Linked DNA regions of Schizosaccharomyces pombe. The protein of the gene in region 2 interacts with the protein of the main gene of each other region in a biochemical or structural test. Each region holds a gene or a part of one and is shown on either strand. Other genes may lie near its edges.

Region 1 (5,708 bases), 2.1 Mb from region 2:
GTTGGGCCTTCCTGCACTTTAAGTTTTTACTCAGGTATTTATTTCTTTATTGATAATTTAAACATGGACTTTATTGTTGTTAAACGGTCTCGTAAAAAAAAAAATGGAAGAGGAAAATTTCCTAAGGTTTCAAACACCATTACTCAAGGTGATACAGATTTATGGTCACAAGATACTTTACAGCGTAAATTAGATAATTCTAGAGAAAAATTAGAGTACTCTGAATTTTTAAAAAGTGTCCAAAGTCAATTATCAGAATTTAAAGATCCTATCCACAAATGCATTATCCTTGGGCTTGGTAGAATACACACTTTAACAGCTTCTTTACAGTTGTCTCTCTTTTTTGAAATTATGAAAATATTTAATTTGCAACCAAGATTTTGTTCATTTTATGATCCAGCATTTCTCAAAGATGATGTCGAATTTCTCGAAAATAAAGGGTTTTGTGTTTTGCCAGACCCACCAACACCCAGCTGCTTAAAATACACTCTACTTTATATGCCACACTGCCCTACTTCACTATATGAAACTTGGTTAGCTGCCTATGTAAATGATGATCCCAGGCATTTTATCATGTGCGGCAACAATTTACAACTATATGTGGACAACAAGCCTAGTAAAGAAATTGTTTCTACGTACCCAAACGTCTACAAAATGTGTACCAAAAATTATTATACCCGACTTTTATTCCCTGAATTCCCTAATGTGTATGCATTCAATGATTTGTCTTTTCATTTTCATGATGCCCAGTCTTTTGTGGAGAAGAAGCAGCCGTCGAAGTTTGTTGATGCTTCAAGCGTTGCTGAGCACCCCAGTTAATAAAATCATGAAAAATGTTTGCATTATAATGACTCTTCGAGGGCTCTTGTATCCAAAGAAGGAAGCTTTTAAGGTAAACTTCAACACCTTCTTTCAGGTAAGGGGTATCAGCTAGTAATTTCAACAGAAGTTGCGAAATTGACGAGCCTGTAGAACCAAGTGATGCCTTTTTTCCGCATAATACATGTACTTTCTTCAGTGCTTCCAGTACATTTTTTGATGAAGGTTTCTCTTCTGTCCATTTTAACTTGCTAAGGCGATTACGAAATACCGCTTGCCCTTTTTCCTCCAAAACTTTGTGCTTCGTCTTTAAAATCATTTCCAAAAGTGGGATCAAAAACTCAAAACCAAGTCCGTTATTAGGTTGAGTCTTATAATAGTTATCAATAAGATCGATAACTTTAACTTTAAACTGAACAATTTGTTGTTTAGTTTCTTGGGCGTTCTTTTTCTTCTCCTTATTCGATGCTTTTTTGCGCTCTCGAAATACCTCAGCTAGCTTTTCATCCAGCGCAAGCATTTGCTCATCATTCATCAGCTCCTCCTCAGAACTTTCCTCGTCTTTGACCTTTGCATCGGCATCTTCTAATACCTTGTCAAGTTTACGCTCCAACTCCTCGTTGTCAGAGGCATCTTGATTAGAGATCATTTCCCAATCACTTTGTTCTTCAATTTCATCTGTGTCTATCTCCTCGAAATCATCCTCATCCATTTCTGTCTCGCCAAAAGCATCTTCCTCCACCTCTTCTCCAGCGAACATTCCTTCGCTGTCTTTTACACTTTCTTTAGCTTTCAAAACATCGCAAATTAAATGAATAGATTCACGGTTCATGTCTTCAGAAAATGAGGTAAATAACATATCAACAAGTTTACGAAGCAACAAGGAAGGTCGAGATAATAAAGACAACATAACCTCAGTAAGGATTTCCATAGCTGTTGGCTCATTAGAGGTGCTTTCTCGCTTCGATTTTTTATTAAACACCTTGGAATAGCAATTATCGATATCTTCCAAAACATCAATTGAATCAGTGTCGCCAGCATATACTTGAAGAAGGACCAATGAGTACAGTAGTTGAAAGGCGTTTAGTTGTTGCAAATGTTGTGCTTTTTTATCAATTTTCTTGGTCACTTTGTGAAGAACTGACAAAGATTTCTGTACAATTTCGATGACCGACTCATCCATGCTAATAAGAAGATTATTTTTGGGACTCTTTTCAAGCTCTAATAAATAATTCAGTGCGACATAAGGCCAATTTTTATCACCCAACTGATGATCAGTTTGGGACTGTTGGAATGCACTGGAACTAAGATAACTCAACGCAGACATCAATCGCAAGCGGAACATATTTTGAGTACCTTCGCTAAATTTAGGTATTACTTCTTCAGATTCTGGTACCTCAAAGTAGCCATAAGCAATGAATATTTCGAGTAATTCACGAACCCAAGGTTCTTGTTTAATCGATCGCTTACTCCGTAATATACTAAGCATAGTATCAGTCGCCCATTGACGTCTCCATTCTACAGCTTTCGTATCCGAGGCGATATCTTCAGGACAACGTTTAACATAACTGAGCAATAGTTGAAAGAGTTGGAGAATGCCCTGTTCATCAGCTAAGGGAAGGATATGCTCAACTAACTTGGTATTGGTAACACGATCAAAATTCAACGAACCACGCTCGCCGAGTAAGTGAATGGCAATAGGATAGACCAATGTAGGGTTCTGCTTACTGACTTTTTCGAGTTTAGAGGTAACACGCTTGGCTGCACGATACAAATAACGATCTTCGTCGCTCAAATGGTTGATCAAACAATGAAGAAAATTTTTAGAAAAAATATCACCAATATTATCACTAGATACATAATCCAAAGCTAACTCCATAATTTGAAAGCCCCAAAATTTTCGTTCAAGTGAAGAAGTAGAAGAGAAAATGCCTTCATCCACGACAACGGCCCAAAAATCATGAAAAGGTGCCAAACCCGAGTATGTCTTGCGTTGATATTCCTCGAAAATATATTTCCAAACCATTGGAATTTTTTGTTTCCAAGCGCTGTTTTGTCCACCAGTTTCTGAAGCATCAGCCTGACGCATAATCTTGGAAAGAGTAACTAAATTAGATTTATGCAAAGGATGAGCTGGTTCCCAATTGGCCATAGCCACCTCTTCTGATTTAACATTATCTGGAACGCGGGTAAGGCAAAGAAACAAACCTACACCCTCAGTACTTTTAGAGACTGCGGGAGTTTGCAAAAGTTTGTTAACTGCGAGAAATGCGTTAGAAGAGAAGGAAATTTCGGGAATTTGCTCTACCAATTTATATATCACGTAAAAGCAAACATCTTGAAGCCAATTTTTCTTCCCAGATAATTGCAAAAGTAAGTCTACCACACGCTGAAAATCTTCGATTGTAGATTCCTTGTGCGTCAATATGCCAGAATATACAATTGACTGTAATCCAAAAAGCAAACCAAAATAAAAATCTCTTTCGTCTTGGCCTTTTAGATTCCCAGAAGCAGTGTTATGCTTAACCAACAAATCTAAAACATGAGTAGCTCGAATATCTTTAGTGCGAGTTAACAGCTAGTTCTTGGTTAGTTTAAGTAAAAAAATGCAAAGACAAGATAAATAATAAGTTGGAAAAGTATATACCTCTGTTAAAGCAACGGCAAATCCAATTCTCGCACTTTCGCGACCACTAGAAAGACCTTTGGTCAAACGGTTTAACGAATATTTTAATTCTTCTTCGTTTGACAAGGAATCAATGAGTTGAGCAGCAGAGCTTAACCGAATAGCTTTATCATTCGATGTAAGCTTAGTGAACAACTCTAATTGTGTTTTTGTAGCCATGTTTGGTACTACTACTCACAATCGAGGTTGTAGGGGAGTCTAAGTCAAACTTCGGTAGTAAGAGAAAAAAAAACAGAAAACGCTACGTATGCAAATCAAAAGATGAAAAAGCTTTTCATTTTCTAAATAGAAGAATAAGTAACAATTGGTAAAGAAATTGATAAATCATGGTTTAGCAGTGATAGAAATTTCAAGTTTTCGAAAGGAAGCTACAGACTCTCATCAATGCGAGTGTAACAATTTGCACTTTACTTTTGTTTAAAATAAGTTTTATCTCTTTTAAACTAATCATACAGTCATCAACATGCATTTCATTATGTGAGAAATAAAATCAATCCATTGAAAAGACCAAATCCTCGAAAATTTTTTCTTAGTATAAATATCAAACAAGTTCGGCTTTTTCATACGAAGACTAGTGATAAGTAGATGGGAACGTTCTCAAAAAAAGTCCCAAGAGTATCTTAAAAGGTTACAAACATCTTCAATTTGTTTCCAAGTTTCTACGAATTATGGGAATATTTTATGATAAAAGTCTTTACAGAATTGATTTTGAAGGATGTGAAATAAATTTTGCTTTCAAGCACTAGTAATTTGGTACATATCATATCCCTAAAAGTTTGTTTCTCTAATGATTACGATATATGCATCATCTTTAACTGCATCGAGTATACATTATCTTTTTTTGCCTGCTGTAAACCTCTCAACTCATAAACTGAAGCACATAAACAGCCGATAAAATCGGCGCTTGTAGACAATACTAAGAGATTTCATTATACACTTATATCACATTAAAAAACGTGAGTCTGTGAACTTTGTAATTTGTAAGAAATGATAATAAAACATTCCGGTCTCAAGGTGCAACTTCATAATCCTTAGAAAAATTGTTTGTTCTTGGAACAATAAGTGCCACATTCTTGATTCCTAAGATTACCTTTCAAAAATTGTTTGGTTAAATCTTGCTCGCATTTAACTTACAAATCCTAGAATTGAATGTCTTTCATAACAAATTAGTGCAATGGGGATTTTTGGGAATAATTAAATTTAAAAGAACATATTTGAATATATCTGTAATACTTATTATACCCGAAAACTCGTAAAATATTTCAATTACAAAGCGACCGTTTTTTGTTAGAAGCTGCTCATGGTAGTATAGGCAAGTTGAATTACGCAAACGCCATATGAATCCAAATGTTATAATCTATCAAAAGTTGAGAATTTATCGCTAATTAAAAAACTAAAATGACTCTGAATGGAAATATAATGAAATATTGCTTGTTAGTTGCTCTCTGTATTTGCTATTTTACGAAAATTCTAACATTTGTTTTTAGAGAAAAGGGGGAAATTTTAATCAGTTTTTTACTGATTGCGTTGGAGAGCATGTTTCGAATATGTACAGTTATTTTACCTAGTCCACTTCGGAATTGGTTTTATGAGCAATCAAAAAAGTGAGTCAGCTATTACTTATACCATTGTCACTGATACTAACCTCGGGGTTTGCAGAGTATACTCGTACTTTTTGCCTGAATTGTTGGTAGATGATAACGCGAATAAATTAACTGATGCAAGAGATACCATCGATTTATGTGCACTTCATGGGTATGATCTGGAAGAACACTTTGTTCGTACAACTGATGGCTACTTGCTTGGCTTGCATCGGGTGTATAAAAAGAAAAAAGGAAAAATTGAAGAGTTAAATTATCTCCCACCTGTATTATTTATTCATGGGCTAATGATGAACTCTGAAAGTTGGGTCTGCAACTTGAAAAAGGAAGATGCCATTCCATTTGCTCTTGTGGAACAAGGATACGATGTTTGGCTTGGAAACTTACGAGGAAACAAATATAGTATAAAGAATATCAAATTCAGCTCTCAAAATCCAAAGTTTTGGGATTTCAGTCTTGATAGTATCGCTATTTTTGACATACCTTCCATTGTTAAATATATACTGTCCGTTAACAGTTTTGATTCTATAAGCCTTGTTGGATTTTCTCAGGGCGCTATATTAGCATTTGCAGCGCTGTCTATTGATACTGAACTTCGCAAT
Region 2 (5,597 bases):
ATTGTCAAAGTTAATCCAAAAATTATGTATCATCTTTTTGGGCGCCGTTGTCTTTTACCTTCAGTCACTTTTTGGCAAAATATATGTTGTATGTTTCTTTTTTTTAAATTTCAACTTCATCTGCTTACTCTACAGATCCCCCAATTTTTGTAAAAATTGTCGATGTATCCCTTAAAATTTTATTCAACTGGGACCTATCCAACATTTCTCTTAATCAAAAACTTTGCGGTTATGCACATCTTTACTCTTTTTCAAGTGTAAAGAGTGTTGTTCACTGGCTTCAGATTATAAAAAACTGTACTTTCCAGCTTTATGACGACGATATGGCTCTTCTAGCTGGATATGGTTCACGCCATTACCAAGTTCCTCTGTTTCCTACGAATAATATCAAATGCCCAATGCTGATACTATGGGGAGGTAAAGATACTTTGATCAATATGGAAGTAATGAGAACTGCTCTTCCTCCCCATGCAAAGGAAGTTTCGGTAAGCCTTTTATTTTATAGGTTTGTTGCTCAATATGCTAATATAAGTTAGATTGCTCATTATGAACATCTTGACTTTCTATGGGGCCAGGATGTTAAAGAGGAAGTGTTCCCAGTTGTAATAGATGCCCTTAAGCATCATTCATTAGGCAAAGCCAAACATTTCGTTAAACAAAACGGTTTTCATTAATGATTAATTAATAATTTAAAAAAAAAACTTCTATATAACGCTTAGATAGATATTTAGAACAACTTTAATTTTGTCAGACTATTTTCAACTTTCATAAACAGCATATCGAAGTGACTTCGAAGAACCATTGTTTCGAGAACGATGCCACGAAATAATGAACTGTTTACCACTTTCACTAGGCTGACTAAAAGCAACTTCTGCAGGCGATATAACGTAACCGTAAATGAATTTTTTTAAAGCATTGTCTAATAGTAAACTTGCTATCCCTTGTTTGCGTCTTGAAGCTGATACCCAAATCCTGGAAATACCCAATACAAACCCCTTTCGTAGATTTTCGTTTTTTATATATACTGCGGAAGAGGTGCTATTGTTGTTGTTGAGTTCAAGTTCATCGACTATGTATGCAGAAGATATACGCTCTGCCAGAAGTAATCCGACACATTTCTTATCTGATATGAATAGAAATGTGGTATATTTATCTACCCCAATTGTTTCAATAGGCTCACTTGAAAGTTCGTTATTTACGAAAGATAAAGCTTCCTCTGCTTTTCTTTGATCAATTAATGAGCTTTCTGAATTTATGCTGTATATGCAATCGGAACTCAAACCATAGTTAACGCGATAAATAGGAGAGCATTGAAAGGACACAGTAACACCTCCTAGAACCCGAGAATGAAACCTAGAATGAAGCAAAATATCTTCTTCGCTCGTTGAATTGTACTCCATAGAACATTCTGAACAAGTTACGGTGGAATTAGCCAAATCTAAGTGTAACTGGGTCATGTTGTCTGAGCTGTTGGAAATTGCTTTTGGCGTTTGCTTTTTCCAATTTGGTGTCAGATTTCCACCGTTTCCTAAAAATGCGTCCAAAAATGCTCTTTTGTTGTTTGTTTCATCGGATAAAGGTGCATAATGCTTGCTACCGGTTTTCCTTCCATATGTTTTAGGCTTTACTTGCTTAGGTTTATCATGGGATGGCGGTACTAAGTTATTATAGCGTTCTTTTCTCGAAATGGAGAGAGCTATATGATAATCTTCATGTTCATTTCTTTCGGATAAAGTAATTTTCTGTTCGCATTCTTCACACGTGTAAGTTTCATCAGCTGAATTCTCCGTTGGTTTAGAAACAGCGGTCTGTTGTAGCATATCAAAAATCCCTTTACCTTTACCTCTTTTCAACCTTTTAGGTGACTTTATATCTTTTTCCGAAGATAATTCAAAAGAATTATTTTCCCTCATATTTTCGTTCAATAATTTAGCGCGTCCCTCAATAGAAGGTGAAACAGAAGTAGACATGTAGATTTCATCATTGGACTTTTTTAAAAAACCCTCAATTCCCCTAGAATTACGATCAACCTCTATGATGTTTTGAAAGCTAATAGATAAGTTTGAAATCGGATATACATCGAATTCCTGTTGCAGTTGACGCAACAGTTTGGATGTTGCTTCAACAATAAACTGAGTGCTAATATCAACATTCATAGGTATTTGACTTGACCTTGACTTTCTCAGAAATCTTGATACAACAGTCAAACAAATGGTCTTGGGCCTTCTCATTCCTTCAAGTTCAAGGAATCGTGATCGAAGATCAGATGCGAATACTTGAAACCAGTTAATTGCATCTTCTTCAGACTTCACTTTTTGCTGAGAAAAATTTTTAGCCGACAACATTGATTTAATCTGAACTTGTGTAGTAATCTCAGTGTTATCAATTCCATGGCACAAATTCCAAACGAGTGGACCGTTAGTTTGACCAAGCTTATCTATCAAAAAGTCCATACTCATATTCCAAACATCCTTAATAGAATCTGTTCCTAATAAATTAATTATTTCTTCTCCAAATTTTCCGCCCAGCATTCTTATATCAGTAATCTTTAATGACACTAAATAATCTTGAATTGCATTTTTCGTTAAAATAGTTTGCTTGTTTGGTTTATTACGCGAGCTGACAAGCTTTGAAAGCATTGGGTTAAAAGAAACTCCTGCTGAGCACGTGTATTTGAGTTGCAAGTATATATCATCGCGAATTTCTTTCACGATTTTTGCAGCGTAAAATAAAAAAACATCATCCCAATCCCTTTCATAATCTTCTTTCGTTCTATCTACAACTTCTTCTTCAATGACCATTCCAAACTCAGCAGGCCATAGTAGCACTGGAGCCTGCGGCAAAGCAACATTTGAGTCCTCAGAGGGAATTTTCAAGTAAGGATATTCCTCCAACACAATCCGTTTAACATCACTCGTAAGTTCAATAAAACATTCGTCAATACTAGCCTTCTTAACCACAGGCGCATGTTTCTTTATGATGTTAAGAATCTTAACGCTTTCGTGCCGATAAGGATCTAAACAGGTTTTATAGTAGTTAGGATTTGGGTTTTCATGGTACTTAGCCTCTGACTCCCCAGCTTTCCAAGTTTTTACATGAGCGGTACAAAGCTCTGGACATTTCTTTTTTGCTTCAGTAACTGTTTCATGGCGTGAAATATTCGCTGCACGGGCTGCGTAGTTTACAGCAATAAGCCCTTGCCATTGTTGAACAGCAAGGGGAACTGAATGGTCTAATCCTAGGCGAACACTTTCGACTTGAGCGTAAAAAGCATCCTGATCAATATGAGCTACAACCCTTAACGGTGAATTTTGTGTACCTGCTTTATCACAATATTGCAAGTCCTTCCAAGAGAATTTGCTTTTGCCTAATTCCATTCAGTTCATACCCTCAAAAAAGTTCTTTAATAAGAATCGCTCAAGTTCTATAGCGCGTTCGTGTTGAATTTAGTGGACTAAGGTACTAGATATAGCAACGTTACCTACTACCAGATACTAAAGCAAAATAAATTCAAACTCTCATAATGTTGTAACCAAAATAAATCATCAAAGGAAATTAGATGTTAAACTTAAAAACTGAATTGAGAGAAAACATTCAGGAATTTTATTTAAGAGACTACTTTAATATGTAAACATATATATAAACACAATGAATATACTGCCGCCATGAAAGGTATTGTATATGATGAACAATTAAGATGAAATTGCTGTTAACAAAGCTGCAAAATATTCAAATGCTTCAATTTATTGCATATGATGCTACCTCATAGCAAATTAATCCTTCATTCATCATTTTCAAAATCTTCTCTTTTGGGCACCGACATATTTAACATGTCCGTATCACTAGTGGATTTCATAGATTGTTCGTAACTTTTTAGTTTATAGCTGTTGACTCTGGATCGTATCTTATTATCTAATTTCGACCTTATTGGGGAATTGAACACAGCCAGAGCTATCAATATATATATATGCACAATAAAATATAGCTCTTTCCAAACGTGTATTGATTCTTTTAGATTCAAAAGAAGGAAAGAGATAATTAGATAGGAGAGAGAGAGGTTTGTTGCTACCATACCAATAACATCATAGACTCGCTTAAAAGGCCCAGGAGTTTCCATATCTGGTTTAAGGAAAAATGGGCGAACATGGCGACGCGTGTATTTTGCAACTGTTTGGATAAAGGCTGCGGAAACAAAAGTCAAATAATATCCAGCAGAAACTCCATGCCACATTGCACTAACAGTGAATGTGCTTAGCGTACTTTTGAACCCTGGACGCTTTCCCTTCTTTGCAACTCTCAAATAAACGTAATTTCGAAGCCATTTATTGGTATTCATGTTCCAAGCCTCAAGAGCACATTTGATATTATCTGCGAATTCGAACTTAATAGGGTCAATATTCTTCACTCGATCCCAACGAGGATGCTTAGAAGAATCCAGGCCATTATAACCAATGCCTGACAATATACATGCACCGTCAGAAAGTTCCCATGCGCCATAATATTTCATTCTTGCAACAAAAGCAGTTATGCAAACGTATCCATATTTTAGCAAAATAGGGGAGGAAGCAAACTTAGGTGTAAGTAGAAACTTTAAAGGATAGATTGAGCTTCCGGTAATAAATAAAATCAGCCACAACAGACCTCGCCAGCAACGACCTAAGGCTGGTTCCAAACTGTGTGGTGTTATCTGTTTTTCATAAGGATCAGCCAAAGGCTTAAACATAGAAAGGGTTATAAACCTTTCGTAATCAACATAATCAAAAGCTGGACCAACAAGTAATGAGGGAAAGAAAAATACGTATCCAAGGAAATACAAGATATTAGGAATCTTTCTCAACGCGCGGTCTTTTTGATAAGAAGATAATTCACTTGAAGGAAGACGACCGTCGTAAACAGACCAGGCAAACGCTGTAAGCTTCATACATAGTACCATTTGTGAAGCAGTAATATCAGTATTTTCTGAAGGGTAAATGTACCGAATAACATGGCTGCTAAATGTATGGCCAAGGATTACTATAAATATGATCCATGGCATTCGTGACGATCGATAAAACGCGGCCACGAAATATGTGAACAAAGCGTCAAATAGCAAAACTAAAACGCCATCGTAAAGATGATGAACACCAATGAGATAAAATAAACCTATGCTTATTGAAAATAAGTTTCTAATCCATGGAGCCGAAGGAAGTCTTTTTAGTATGCCGGCAAACGGGTATGCTGAAAGAAAACAAAACAGTAACTTGAGCTGATCCGGGTGGACTCCAAGGAAAGAAGAGAAGTATTCAAATGGTATATCAATAAGATAAGCCATTGTTAATGTAGACAATACTGTCTCCTGCTTTGGGAATGCCTTTGAATTGAACAACTGATATTAAACACTCAACAATCGATTATTCTTTAATCACGAATGTACAGTGAAGATTGTACCCAGAGTTTGGTGTTGGTGAAGTTTTAGCTCATGAACACCAACAATTTCTGGTCTAAAGAACTAGCACAACTTTTGTCACAAATTATTCAAGAAACCCACGGTCCTTGTTGAGCTACTATAATCAACTGATCAACTGACAACATTTAAGAATATGACCCAATTTTACAAC

Evidence for each region.
Region 1: the proteins of eso1 (region 2) and pol5 form a complex in vitro, tested with the Schizosaccharomyces pombe proteins (one study listed by BioGRID).

What each region holds. Positions count from the first base shown.
Region 1 is NC_003423.3:2,225,325-2,231,032, forward strand, and holds pol5 (rRNA processing protein Pol5), read right to left. Parts: upstream 3,706-5,708; 5' UTR 3,665-3,705; coding exon 3,467-3,664; exon of another isoform or gene 3,398-3,466; coding exon 716-3,397; downstream 1-715. Other genes in the region: SRR1 family protein, DNA-repair associated protein, Srr1, conflicting annotations across species, read left to right, coding at 64-819; SPOM_SPBC14C8.15 (triglyceride lipase-cholesterol esterase), read left to right, coding at 4,904-4,938, 4,993-5,109, 5,165-5,708. UniProt on the Schizosaccharomyces pombe protein: Plays an important role in the regulation of rRNA transcription. Binds to rDNA promoter fragments.
Region 2 is NC_003423.3:4,276,215-4,281,811, forward strand, and holds eso1 (mitotic cohesin N-acetyltransferase/DNA polymerase eta Eso1 fusion protein), read right to left. Parts: upstream 3,440-5,597; 5' UTR 3,378-3,439; coding exon 759-3,377; 3' UTR 675-758; downstream 1-674. Other genes in the region: SPOM_SPBC16A3.12C (triglyceride lipase-cholesterol esterase), read left to right, coding at 1-88, 136-485, 537-674; ale1 (MBOAT family O-acyltransferase), read right to left, coding at 3,782-5,311. UniProt on the Schizosaccharomyces pombe protein: Probable acetyltransferase required for the establishment of sister chromatid cohesion and couple the processes of cohesion and DNA replication to ensure that only sister chromatids become paired together.